Sus scrofa: one gene and its partners. The protein of the gene in region 1 interacts with the protein of each later gene in a biochemical or structural test. Links are inferred from orthologs where the notes say so. Each region holds a gene or a part of one and is shown on either strand. Other genes may lie near its edges. The genes, in order: MMP14, LUM and TIMP2.

Evidence for each region.
Region 2: the proteins of MMP14 (region 1) and LUM interact in a biophysical measurement, tested with the Homo sapiens proteins (2 studies listed by BioGRID and IntAct, with this or other methods). The link is inferred for Sus scrofa from reciprocal best matches to the Homo sapiens genes MMP14 and LUM.
Region 3: the proteins of MMP14 (region 1) and TIMP2 form a complex in vitro, tested with the Homo sapiens proteins (2 studies listed by BioGRID). The link is inferred for Sus scrofa from reciprocal best matches to the Homo sapiens genes MMP14 and TIMP2.

The regions. Positions count from the first base shown.
Region 1 is NC_010449.5:76,183,058-76,187,345, forward strand, and holds the start of MMP14 (matrix metalloproteinase-14 precursor), read right to left. Parts: upstream 2,828-4,288; 5' UTR 2,590-2,827; coding exon 2,488-2,589; intron 1-2,487.
Region 2 is NC_010447.5:91,751,860-91,754,508, reverse strand, and holds part of LUM (lumican precursor), read right to left. Parts: coding exon 2,151-2,649; intron 1-2,150.
Region 3 is NC_010454.4:3,253,483-3,257,616, forward strand, and holds the start of TIMP2 (metalloproteinase inhibitor 2 precursor), read left to right. Parts: upstream 1-1,311; 5' UTR 1,312-1,325; coding exon 1,326-1,458; intron 1,459-4,134. UniProt on the Homo sapiens protein: Complexes with metalloproteinases (such as collagenases) and irreversibly inactivates them by binding to their catalytic zinc cofactor. Known to act on MMP-1, MMP-2, MMP-3, MMP-7, MMP-8, MMP-9, MMP-10, MMP-13, MMP-14, MMP-15, MMP-16 and MMP-19.

The DNA of each region.
Region 1 (4,288 bases):
CTGTGCTGGCTGATGCCACAGTGAGTGCCTGCAGGAGGCCTGCTGTGGCCTGTGCCCAAGTATGCAGGAAACTCCCTTTGCCCCTGGCCTTACCTAGAGGGGAGTCACACCCCAGGCTTATGACCTCTGGTGGGGGAGCAGCTGCTTCAGCTTTGAGAAAGGATGGGAGCAGCCCACTGCTGGAGCTGGAAGACTGAGGTCAGGCCCTCTCAACCCTCAGGGAGCAAAGCCGAGGAAACTTCTAGGGTAGGATGACAGGATAGAGGGTGGCAGAGAGATGGGGAGAATCCACATCCGGGGGGAGTTCTAGGATAAACCCCGCTTCCTGATGAGACTTTCAAGAAGGTAGGCAGGTCTAAATATTCACACCTACAATCTCCACCCTGTATCCAGCAGAGGAAGGTGGAGACTTAGTCAAGAAAGGGACTTCTCTGGAGTCAGGAGAGCTGCAAGTCCTGGAAAGGAAGGGCCCCCATTCCTCTCCTCCTCCCAGGCCTAGGATCTAAGCAAAGCAAGAACCACAGAGGAGACTATGAGGTCGGAACCACAGAAGAGAGGACTCTTGTGTCTGCGGCTGAGTGGGGGAAGGGCCAAGTGCCAAACAGGCCAGCGGGAGGAGAGGGCTGTCCAGGAGCTGGTGCAAGACTCGAGGTGGTGGGAGGGAGCTGGCTGCCTGAGGCCCAGGCCACCCCAGCTCTCAGCTCTCGTCCAGATTGGCCTGGAGAGGGAGCAACTCTGTTGGGTCAGAGAACTCAATCAGCTGGCTTTGTCTTGAAAATTGAGTGGTGCAAGGTATTGCCCTAGGGGAAAATCAAGGACAGGGACTCCCCTGGCCTAGGAGTCCTTGGGGGGCAGCGGGTTGGGGGACTCTCTGGCTTTTCTGAGGGCCCTGGATCCCAGCCCCTGGGTCTGCTCCTCCCTCCCTCTGCCTCCCATCCTTCATGGCCCAGACGCAAATGGTGGTTCTGGCACTGGGGCTGCCCATGACCCACTTAAAACGGAGCCAGGGCTGCTGCCCCTCCCCTAGGGGACCTAGTGGGGCAGGGGAGGGAAGGAAAGCAGGGCAGGCGAAGTTGGCAGTGGGAAGCCCCCCAGATGCCCAGGCTCCTTTTGTTCGGAGCTCTCCCCTTCAGGCCTCAGAGGAAGACTCCAGGCCTGGGGAGAGGTTGCCTCTTGCTTGTGGATGGTGTCAGATTTAGCCCCTGGGCAGATTTTCACTCTCCCAGGTCACCCCGTTCCTAGGGCCACACTTTTCCCCTCAGGACAGAGGGAGTGTGTTCTTTCTGGAGATGTTTCCTCCAGGGGTGGGACCAGGGCCGGGACCAAGAGGGAGGAAGCCAAGTCCAGATCCCTTCCCCCTGCTCTGCAGCTCAGGCCCTTCCCGGCCCCTCCCGACCGCACCCAGGCCCTGGCCGTGCTGAGTGGGTTGGGATGGCCCAAAATAAGAAGCTGATCAAATCTGTCTCCCACCTTCACCCCAAAATAAAAGAGAGAGAGAGGAAAAAACTTCCTCAGACAACTCCCACGCGGCTTCCTCCCGGGCCCGGTGGGCCAGCGTCGGGGAATGGGTGGGGGGCAACCCAGTCTGTGAGACGTGTGCGGGCACCTAGGGCCAGAGCCTGGCCCTGCTCCCCGGTACGACACCCCCAGTCTCCCTGCAACTGACACAGAAAAGCAATTAACAAAAAGAGCCTAAAGGCGCCGATGGCGGAGCAGGGAGAGGAGGCGGCGGCCAGGCCAAGCCCCCGGCTCACAAGGAGAGCTTTGTGTGTCCAGAAACTCGGGCCAGGGCGCCAGTGCCGCGACCCTCGACGCCAGGGCTCCGGGCCGGGGCACAGAGGGCTCTCTCGTGGAGGTGGGGGTGGCAGGGGGGCCAGGGCCGCTCCGCTGTCCACCCCCCGACCACACCTGGCTGCCGAGGCGTCGGGGGAGGGCCGGGACCGCCCCGGAGGCAGGAGGCGGCAGCGGCGGCCGCAGCGTGGGGGGCCGGGGGCAGCACGGCGCGGTCTCCGAGTCCCCCCGGCTGCCCGAGCGCCGCCGGCGAGCGCGGGCGGGAGAGCGCTGGAGAGCTGGAAAGTTGGAGAAACAACAAACTCTCGCACATGACAAGAAACCGGGACAGCGCGGGGTCTGAGCCGAGTCCAAATATTTATCAGGCTCCTGACCGGTTCCAGGGCTGAGCTCAGAGCCCAGGGGAACTGGGGAGGGGTGGGGAGTGGGCCCCCGCTGGAAAGTTCTTCCAGGGAAAGGAATGGGGAAAAAAAGTCAGCGGCTGGGGTGGGGGGGCAAAAGTTGGATCGGTGAGAGGAGGCAAAAGTTGGATCGACTTGGAAGTTTGGAGAGGGGGAGGGAAAGGAAAGGAAGGGGGATCCTGCAGGCCGAGACCCCGAGAGCCCTCCTCTCCGACCGGGGGCTGTTCCCCCGAAGACCCCCGGGCTCGCCTCCCCGCGGGCGCAACTCCGGGCAGGGCCCGAGGAGCTCACTTACTTCGGGGCTGAAGCTTTGGGCAGAGCTGAGGGAGGCGAGCGCGGAGGCGAGCGTGAGCAGGGGGAGCAGCAGACTGCGGACGGGTCGCGGGGCGGGAGACATGGTCCGCGACCGTCCAGGCAGTCGGGCCGTGCGGGCTCCGCGGCAGGGCCCAAGCCCCGGGGTCGCGCCGCCGCTCCCTCGGGCAGCCTTTGTCTTCGGTAGGCACTGAATTTGGGTTCCTAGGGCGCTGTCCTCTTGGAGATGAGGGGCTTGTTCTTGAAAGCGCCTGTTTGCTCGTCCCCTCTTTTCCGTTTTTTGATCTTTCTTCTGCTTAGTGGGCGAACTGGATCGTGAGCCCTCTCTCTTGCTCTCTCCACTGGTCCCTCCCTTCTCCCACAGCCTCCCTCCGCCCCCGCCCCTATGCCCTCCTTTCCCGGTGCGGACGTGGTTGTTTCAGCCTGAATCCAATTACAGCCAAGAGCCGGGTAAAAAAACCCCTAAGTTGCCTTTCTGTGGTGGAGGCTGCCATCTGCAGGGGTTGAGGCCACAGTCGAGAGCGGGGGACTGTGGAGGGACTCAGGGGACGGGATGTGGGAGACTTTCTCTCTCTAAGCATATTTTGGGTGGCTTGATTCCTCTGGTATTCAGCATTTGTCTCACCTCCGTGGGAAGTACTGAGAGGCTCAGTGGCTGGGGCAAACAAGAAGCTCAGAGTCCGTGATGGTGGCGGGGGGCGGTCTTGCTCGTCCAGGAGACCTGATTTGAGGGGTTGTCTCCTGGGACCTGTGGCTCAACCGTATTTTTGTCCCTTATTCTTGACAAGCACCTGTGTCCCTCCCCTGACCAACCCCCTCCCCCCTAAAAGCAACAATAGCAAGACCTAACTACCCACTGAGAGATCCCACCACCACACTGGATCTGGGGATCCTGTCCTTGTAGAAAGACAAATGCACTTCTTTATTATTGTCATTTGTAATCTGCTGTTCCTTAAATTAGGACTGGCCAGGGAAGAAAGGAGTGCAAGACTATGGAATCTAGGGAAAGGCAAACGGAGTCTGGTGAAATTGCTAGAAAAAGGGAGAATGGGAGTCAGGACTAAGGAGTTCAGTTCCCCCGCTACCCCGGAAAAGGAGGTAATCCCTTAAAAAGTATAATCTCCAGAGGCTGAGGAGACTCTGAGAACAAAAGGTGGAGGTTTGCAGGGAAGGGGGAGGGCAGGCTAGAGCTGATGGTGGGAAAGGGAGACAGATAAGAGGCTGAGGGCTAGATCTGGAAAAGCAAAACGAAAGAGGCAGGAAAAGTGTGGGAGAGCGAAAACTCGACCATCAGCGAAATCTAAGATCTAAGAATTGCATTGGTCAGCGAGAGAGGAAGGAGGTAGTGGGGGGAAAGACAGCAAAAGAAGGAATAATGGAGGTTGGGCGAAATTAAGTCAGGTAGGAAGTTTCAGAAACCCCAGAGACCCAGGAACTATCACATTTGTGGCAGGAGAATGAAAGAAAAGTCTAGTGCTCTGTATTGTATTGGAGCAAAGGTCCTATTTCCCCCAGACTCCATGGGAGGAGCCACGATCAATACAAGGAAAGGTTTCCCTGGGACCTGTGCAGCTAACAGGTTTGCAAGAAGTATACGGTGGCTATGAGGTGCCCTAGTCCACAGTGACTATTTGGTGGCTAAGCACCTCAGGGCTCCCCTATACAAATGGGGGTCAGGAAGTGCAGGCCTCTCTCCAACCGGCCTCTGGAATTCAGTCAGAACCACAGAAACCTCAGGATCCAACTCTTCGGCAGAACAAGCAATGCCCGTCTGCTTTTCCCCG
Region 2 (2,649 bases), on another chromosome or scaffold:
CTTTCCTCTAAGATGCTGTCTTTAGTAACTCATCAGTCAAACTCCAGGGATCTTGCTTATGGTACCCACTTCTGAGAGAGTATGGAACAATGGAAAAAAAAACAAGGACTTAGGTCTATAAGAGTTTTCTATCCCTGCCATTTACCATCTGGAACATGTATCTGATCCTTTTGTCAGATATAACATACCCATCACACTGTGTCGCTTGAAGATTACACTAACTGAGGTCCATAAAGCACTTCACACAGTGCTAGCACATACTACCTACTAAATAAGTATTGGTATCCTTTTAATATTTTTCTCTCTTCTAAATTGCTTTACCCTACACAGACCTGTAACTAAGCTAAGGTTTCAAGTTGCAAGGTTGAAATATGAGAAATAGTTTTTGACACTATATTTCCTTTCATCAGAAAAACATTAAGGGGCTTGTTCTAAGAGAATGTGGGCAATTGGTATACATGATTATTATGTGGCAGAATCAACTCACTCGAAGATGCACAGGCAAAGTCAAATAGCAAGACTCCCTGAAATGTGGATACCGAAGTATCAAGGATAAGAATGGGAGAAAGGTAACAACACATTTCCAAATGGCTGTAGGTGCTGGGCACTGGGGTTTCAGTCTCATCTTGGCTGTGAGTGGCTGTTGGCATTTCTCCCATAGACCAACTGTCCTCGCTGCTACCTTGGCTCTTCCTTTTTAAATCATACAATGAAAACTGGTCCTTCGACCTCCAAATACCCCTCCATCTGTATTTCTCCCCTTTCTCGTCTCAGAGTAGAAAAGAGTCTTTCCTTTGGAGCTAACCTCCACCCACCAAATCTAATGGATTTCTTCAGCACTCCAACATCTTAAATCCCATTAGCATGCTGGCTTGTCTGAGCATCCTTCTTCCTAACCACAGATGTTTGTGATGTGGGACTGTATATTGCCACATAGTGAATGTTCCCTAGCTTAACTGTGTATTGTATGACAAGCAAGCTTTCCAGATACAAGAAAGAACATGTGGCATTGCAGAGTCGGCAAGCATGGTCTCCAAGAGAACGCCCCAACCCTATTAGGAGTTATATGAAACTCTGGCAGAATTATAGAATATCATATTAATAAGGCACATTGCAGGTTTTTTTTTTCTTTTCCCAATAGGAGTGTCAATATCCTTACCCACTATGACAAGAGAACCAACTTTAAACTGAAAGATGTTCAATTTAAATAGACTATTTGGCAGACAGAACTATTTACTGTGTGAATCAATGCTTCCCACCTGAGTTTTCATTTAAACAACTTCGTCTGTGAATTACAGTTTTTTTTTTTCTTCTGCCAACATCACTTAAAGAGTAAGGTCGAGAATGGGGAATGTTATTGTCCCATCTGGAAAAACGTCCTGGAAGACCAGGAGAGTGCATAAACACCCCAGGTGGATCAGGTCAAACTCCAGCAGACAAATGAAAGATAAGCTACAGCAGTAACAGAAAGGAAGGAGAACATTTGTGGGAAAATCAAAAGAGGCGAAGTGTTATGTGTAAGCAAAGAGACTCTGTAACGCGATTAAAGATATTCTAAGCCCTTATCATAGTTCTCCTTCATGCTCCCCATGGTCCTCGTAAGAACAACGTGAGGGCCACACACACTGTGATAGAGCAACAGGGATAGATGATGCTCCTGGTAGCTGAGTAATATGTTGAGCCCTAAATAAAGAGGTCAGAGGAGACCATGAGTGTACACAGGCTGCCTGGGCGGGGATAGATGTAAAAGCCTCTGCTGGCTCTGCCTCTTCTGGGCTTGTTGGTTTCTCCCTCAGCTACACCTTGCTTCTGAGAAATAAATGTAGACACACATCGAAGTCATGGAGGAGACAAATGAAAACAAACATCAAGAGATAACACAGTAGGATGAATTAGCCCAGAATATTAAATTGAAGAAATGAGTGTTTACATTCTGTGACCTTAATGGTTTCTTATCTGGACTCTCCAAAGAAAAGCCAGATATTGGATGGATAACAGAGCTAGAATTCTTCTGTATCCTTAGAGAAATCTTATTGTTGGCATTTTCATTTCTTTAAATGGAGCCAAATTGCAATATTTGTGTTGCACCACTCAGATATTTAAAGGCTTGAGGAAACATCAATCAAACACAGGCACAGCTCTCTACTTACTTTCAAGTTCATTGACCTCCAGGTAATAGTTTTCAAGGTTTTCATTGACAGTCGGTATGTTTTTAAGCTTATTGTAGGAGAGATCCAGCTCCAGCAGAGATGATAAATTAAAAGAATTTCCAGGTATTCCACTATCAGCCAGTTCATTATGAGACAAACGCAGGTACTGCAGGCCACTGAAATGCTTGAAATACTCATCTGGGATGTTGCTGATCTTATTGTTGTCTAAGTAGAGAGTTAGAAGAGATACTGGGAGGCCAGAAGGCAGTTTGGTCATCTGATTGAAGCTCAAGTCAAGGTATTCGAGCCCCTTAAGACCTCTAAAAGCCGCTGAAACGGCATCCTCTTTCAGCTGATTGTGTTGCAGGTGGATAAAAGTCAGGTTGACCAGTCCATCAAAGGAGCCGAGCTTCGAGATTTTGTTATTAGTGAGCTGCAGGTCCACCAGGGATTTGGGGAGTGGGCCTACAGACTCGGTCAGATTGTTGTAATTTATATG
Region 3 (4,134 bases), on another chromosome or scaffold:
AGGAACCATGAGCAGGGCCCAGAAAATGCCTTCATCCAGTCCTTCAGGCTCCTGGGCTTCTGGGCCCAACCACCCCCCTTGCTGGCTGGTTAAAAATATGGCCAGTTTATGAATCCCGTTTTGGAGTTCCCTTTGTGGCTCAGCGGTAACAAACCCGAGTAGCAGCCATGACGACGCCGGTTTGGTCCCTGGCCCTGTTCAGTGGGTTAAGGATCCAGCCTTGCGTTGTGGTGTATGTGGCAGACCCTACTCAGATCCCCTGTGTGGCTGTGGCTGTGGTGTAGACTGGCAGCTGTAGCTCTAATTTGACCCCTAGCCTGGGAACTTCCCCGTGCCTCGGGTGCGGCCCTAAACAAACAAACAAACAAACAAACAAAACCCTGGTTTGCTCCTGGTAACCACTCTGCCTCTCCCTCTAACTCCGCTGGCTAAGCGCACTTAAAATTCTAAGGCCTCCATTTGAAAAGGAGTCCTTGGTAAGTTTCAGGCCACCCAGCCACAGGGAGCAGGGGGCGGGGGCAGGGCGAGGGGCGGCCGAGAACGACCCCTGTTCCAAAGCGCACATCCTTTTTCTCTTTCAGTCTCTGGCTAGAATCTCAGCGCCCCCCGGGGTGGAAGGGAATCAGGCAGTGTACACCTCCTGTGCCCAGCTGGAGGGGAAGGGCTGGTGGGTGTGCCGCCTGATGCCCTGGAGGGGTGGGCTGCGAGTCCCAGGTGCTGAGTCAGGCTGTGTGGGGCGCTGTCCGCGCCGCAGCACCCCCTCCCCCAACCCCTGGCGATTCGGGAGCCTGCAGGGTGCGGTCCCGGGCGGGGGGAAGCCAGGTGCGCAGCGGCGGGCCGGGGGCCGGGCCGGGCTGGGAACAACAAAAGCCGGGCTTGGGGGAGGGCCGGGAGGCGCGGGAGGCGCGCGGGGAGGGGAGCTCCCGGGGCCGTCATTGGCCGCCCGCCACCGGGGGGCGGAGCCAAGGAGCTAAGTATCGCAATAAAAGGCCGGCTCGGCCCGCGCCCGCGGCGCACACATCCATAGAAGGCAGTGGAGCCGCCGGGACCCAGGCCGCGGCGCGCCCGCCTGCTCGTTCGCCCGCCGCCCGCCGCCCGCCGCCCCCGCCCGCTCTCTCCTCCGCGCCGCGGGCCGCACCCCGCGCCCCTCGCCGCGCCCGCGACCAAGAGCCGAGAAAGTTTGTGCGGCAAGTGCGGGCCAGAGCGGAGGGCGCGCCCGCGGAGCGCCGCCGAGACCCGCGCGGCCCCGGCCGGCGAGAGGGGAGCTCCCCGAGCCCAGGCGGCGGCGGCGAGCCCGAGCCCGCGCCCCCCGCCCCCCGCCCGCCATGGGCGCCGCGGCCCGCAGCCTGCGGCTCGCGCTCGGCCTCCTGCTGCTGCTGGGGACACTGCTCCGCCCGGCCGACGCCTGCAGCTGCTCCCCCGTGCACCCGCAACAGGCGTTTTGCAATGCAGACGTAGGTAAGGACCGCGACCCCGCCCCGGCCCGGTGCCCACCGCCCCCGCGGGCCGCGCGGGACCCCCGAGGTTTCGCCGGCGCCCCGCCCGCCCGGCCGCATCTTGCAGAGGGACCCAGCGCCCGCCTCCTGGGCCTCGGTGCCTTCTAGAATCCTGCAAGTTGACGCCAAAATCGTACTTTCTTTTCCCCCTTCCTTCTCTCCCTTTCTTTTCCTCTCTGCCGAGATGCTTCTCAACCTCAAAATTCCACCGAAATTCCGCTGCAGCTCCAGCCCCAGAAAAGGGAGCCAGGGAACGGATCGGGTTTTGGCAGGCGGAGGGCCCTGGGATGCCAGCGCGGGGGTGGGGAGAGTGGGGGACACGGCGTGGGGGTGGGAGGACTGGGGACCCCGGGAGGAAACTTTCACAGGTGAAATGAAATGGGAGTTGGGCTCCTCTGGGCTTGGAGCTGGGTGGGGAAGGGCTGCACCAGCGGGGCCTCTCCCACCAGCCCCATTTGGGGCTGGTCAGATCAGGCTGGCCAGGACGGAAGCTTCCCTCTCCTGGGCAGGCTCCCCTGGCCTCCGAGGGGTAGGGAGAAAGATGGGCAGAGCTCCAGGGCGGGCTCCTTGCTCCATACCCTGCATCCAGGGACAGGCAGGAGCGTCCTTGAGTGGTGACTGCTTTTTCAGGACATTCACACAAATTGGGGGCTCTGGTGACTGGAGGCTGAGATAGGGCTGTATGGCTGCTTAGAGGCCCCAGCAAGTATCTGTTCCCCTCAGGGCCCCTTGCCCCCCCAGAGATGGGAGCTCTCCAGGGAAGGAGAGCTTGGTTATTTGTTGATCCCCAGAGGGGCAGGAGACAGAAGCAGGGAGAATGCAGCAAAAACGGGAGGAACCACCTGGGCCCCAGCGGTTCCCAGCCAGCTCTGGTGCTCGCAGGCCCCCTGTGCCCTGGTGATGGTCAGGCGGTTTTTCCCGAGGCACGCTGCCTTTAACCAGAAGGACAGATGCACAGCAGGTGGGCCTCTGCGGCTGCTTCCAACAGGTTTTTTTCAGCTTCTAAGTGTCAGCCAGCAGAGCATCTTGTTGCCAGGCCAGGTGTGGTGAGGCTGGGCCACACTCACGTGGGCCGACTCAAAGCCAGGGTCTGTGGGTTTCTCCTCCTGTCAGCCATGCCCCTCTGATCTCCCCACACTCCCCTGCCTCCTCCCCGGCTCCTGGCCACACCCCAGTTGGCCCCTGGAACTGCCACCACCGCCTGGCTTGGGAGGTCTTCAGGCACAACACGTAGCTCAGGCCACCTGCGCGTGGGGCGAGGTGTGTGCTTGCCTTCCGCAGAACTCGAATTGGGGCAAGTCGAGTCTGTCCTCCAGTTTGGAGAAGATTTGCAGGAGGAGGAGAGGCTCCTCCCAGTGGGGGGGCCGGGACTGGCCCTCCCGTGGGATGTCATGTCGCCTGGGGGTCCAGGCCTGGGCAGGCCCCTCGCTGAGAGAGAGGCTGCGGTCGGGGCAGAATCAGGCCCAGGCCCCGAGGGAACCCATGGCTCGGAAGACACTGGGGTCGAGGGGGCCAAGAGGGAAGGGGCTGGGCCTGGGGACCACCTTACACCCCTCAGCTGCGCGGAGACAGTGTCCAGCCAGCCGCTCCCATCCTTGTCCAGCATCAGCCAAGGTTTCTGCTTTGGGTTTGGATCAAGGGCAGCAAAGGTCAGGGTCCAGGAGACTCCGTGAGTCTGCAGGCTCCTTCTTGCTTGGCGCGTCACCCTCTCTTCCACCTGCACCTCCTGACATTTGTGTCCAAATCATTTGCAGCAAAATCATAGCCGAGCCCACACTTTTAACCCCAGCCCAGCCCAGCGGTCCAGCCAGGCCAGCCGAGGCCAGACTCGTGCTGCAGAGCCCAGTACATGAGATTCCTGTGGCTGCTGCAACAAGTGACGGCAGACCGGGAGCCCTAGACCATAGGCACTGATTCTCTCTCAGTCTGCAGGGCCTAAGGGCCAAGGTGAAGGTGCTGGCAGGGGACGTCCCTTTGGAGGCTCTGAGGGGGTCTGTTCCCAGTCTCTCTCCTGGTGGCTCCGGGCCACCCTTGGTGTCCCTTGGCTTATGGACACGTCGCTCCAGTCGCTGCTCCATTCCCTCGTGGCCCTCTTCTCTGCCTGCCCGTGTCTTCTCCTCTTGTACCAGTCATTGGATTCTGGGCCTGCCCTAGTCCCCTGTGACCTCGTCTTGTTCACATCTGCAATCCCCTACTTCCAAATAAGGCCACATCCCCAGGTTCTGGGTGGACGTGAAGTTGAGGGGGATGCTGCCCAGGCTCGTTCCACACGCAGCCCTTCTGTGCTCGTTCCACCCCGGATATGCTGCTGAGACCTCCCAGGGTGTGGGCCCCGGATGGCCGTGGAGCAAGCCCTGCAGAAAAAGCAGTGGCCTTTCCATGCCTGCTTCTCCTTTAGGTGCTGCAGGCTCGGTGATGATTCCCGCTCCGGCCGAGAGCGGCGTTGCCTGGGGTCTGGATCTCTTTGCAGATACCGAAGGTCTGGTTCAGATCTTGGCTTTTGTAATTTTAAAGCCCTCCAGGTGACTGTGCCATCGAGGCAGTGGCCCAGGAGTCTGGGAAAGGCAATGGCCTGTTGCACGTTGGGGTCCTTGAAGACTGGCCTTCTGCAGTGTGCTGGCTCCTTTCATTGTTGGCT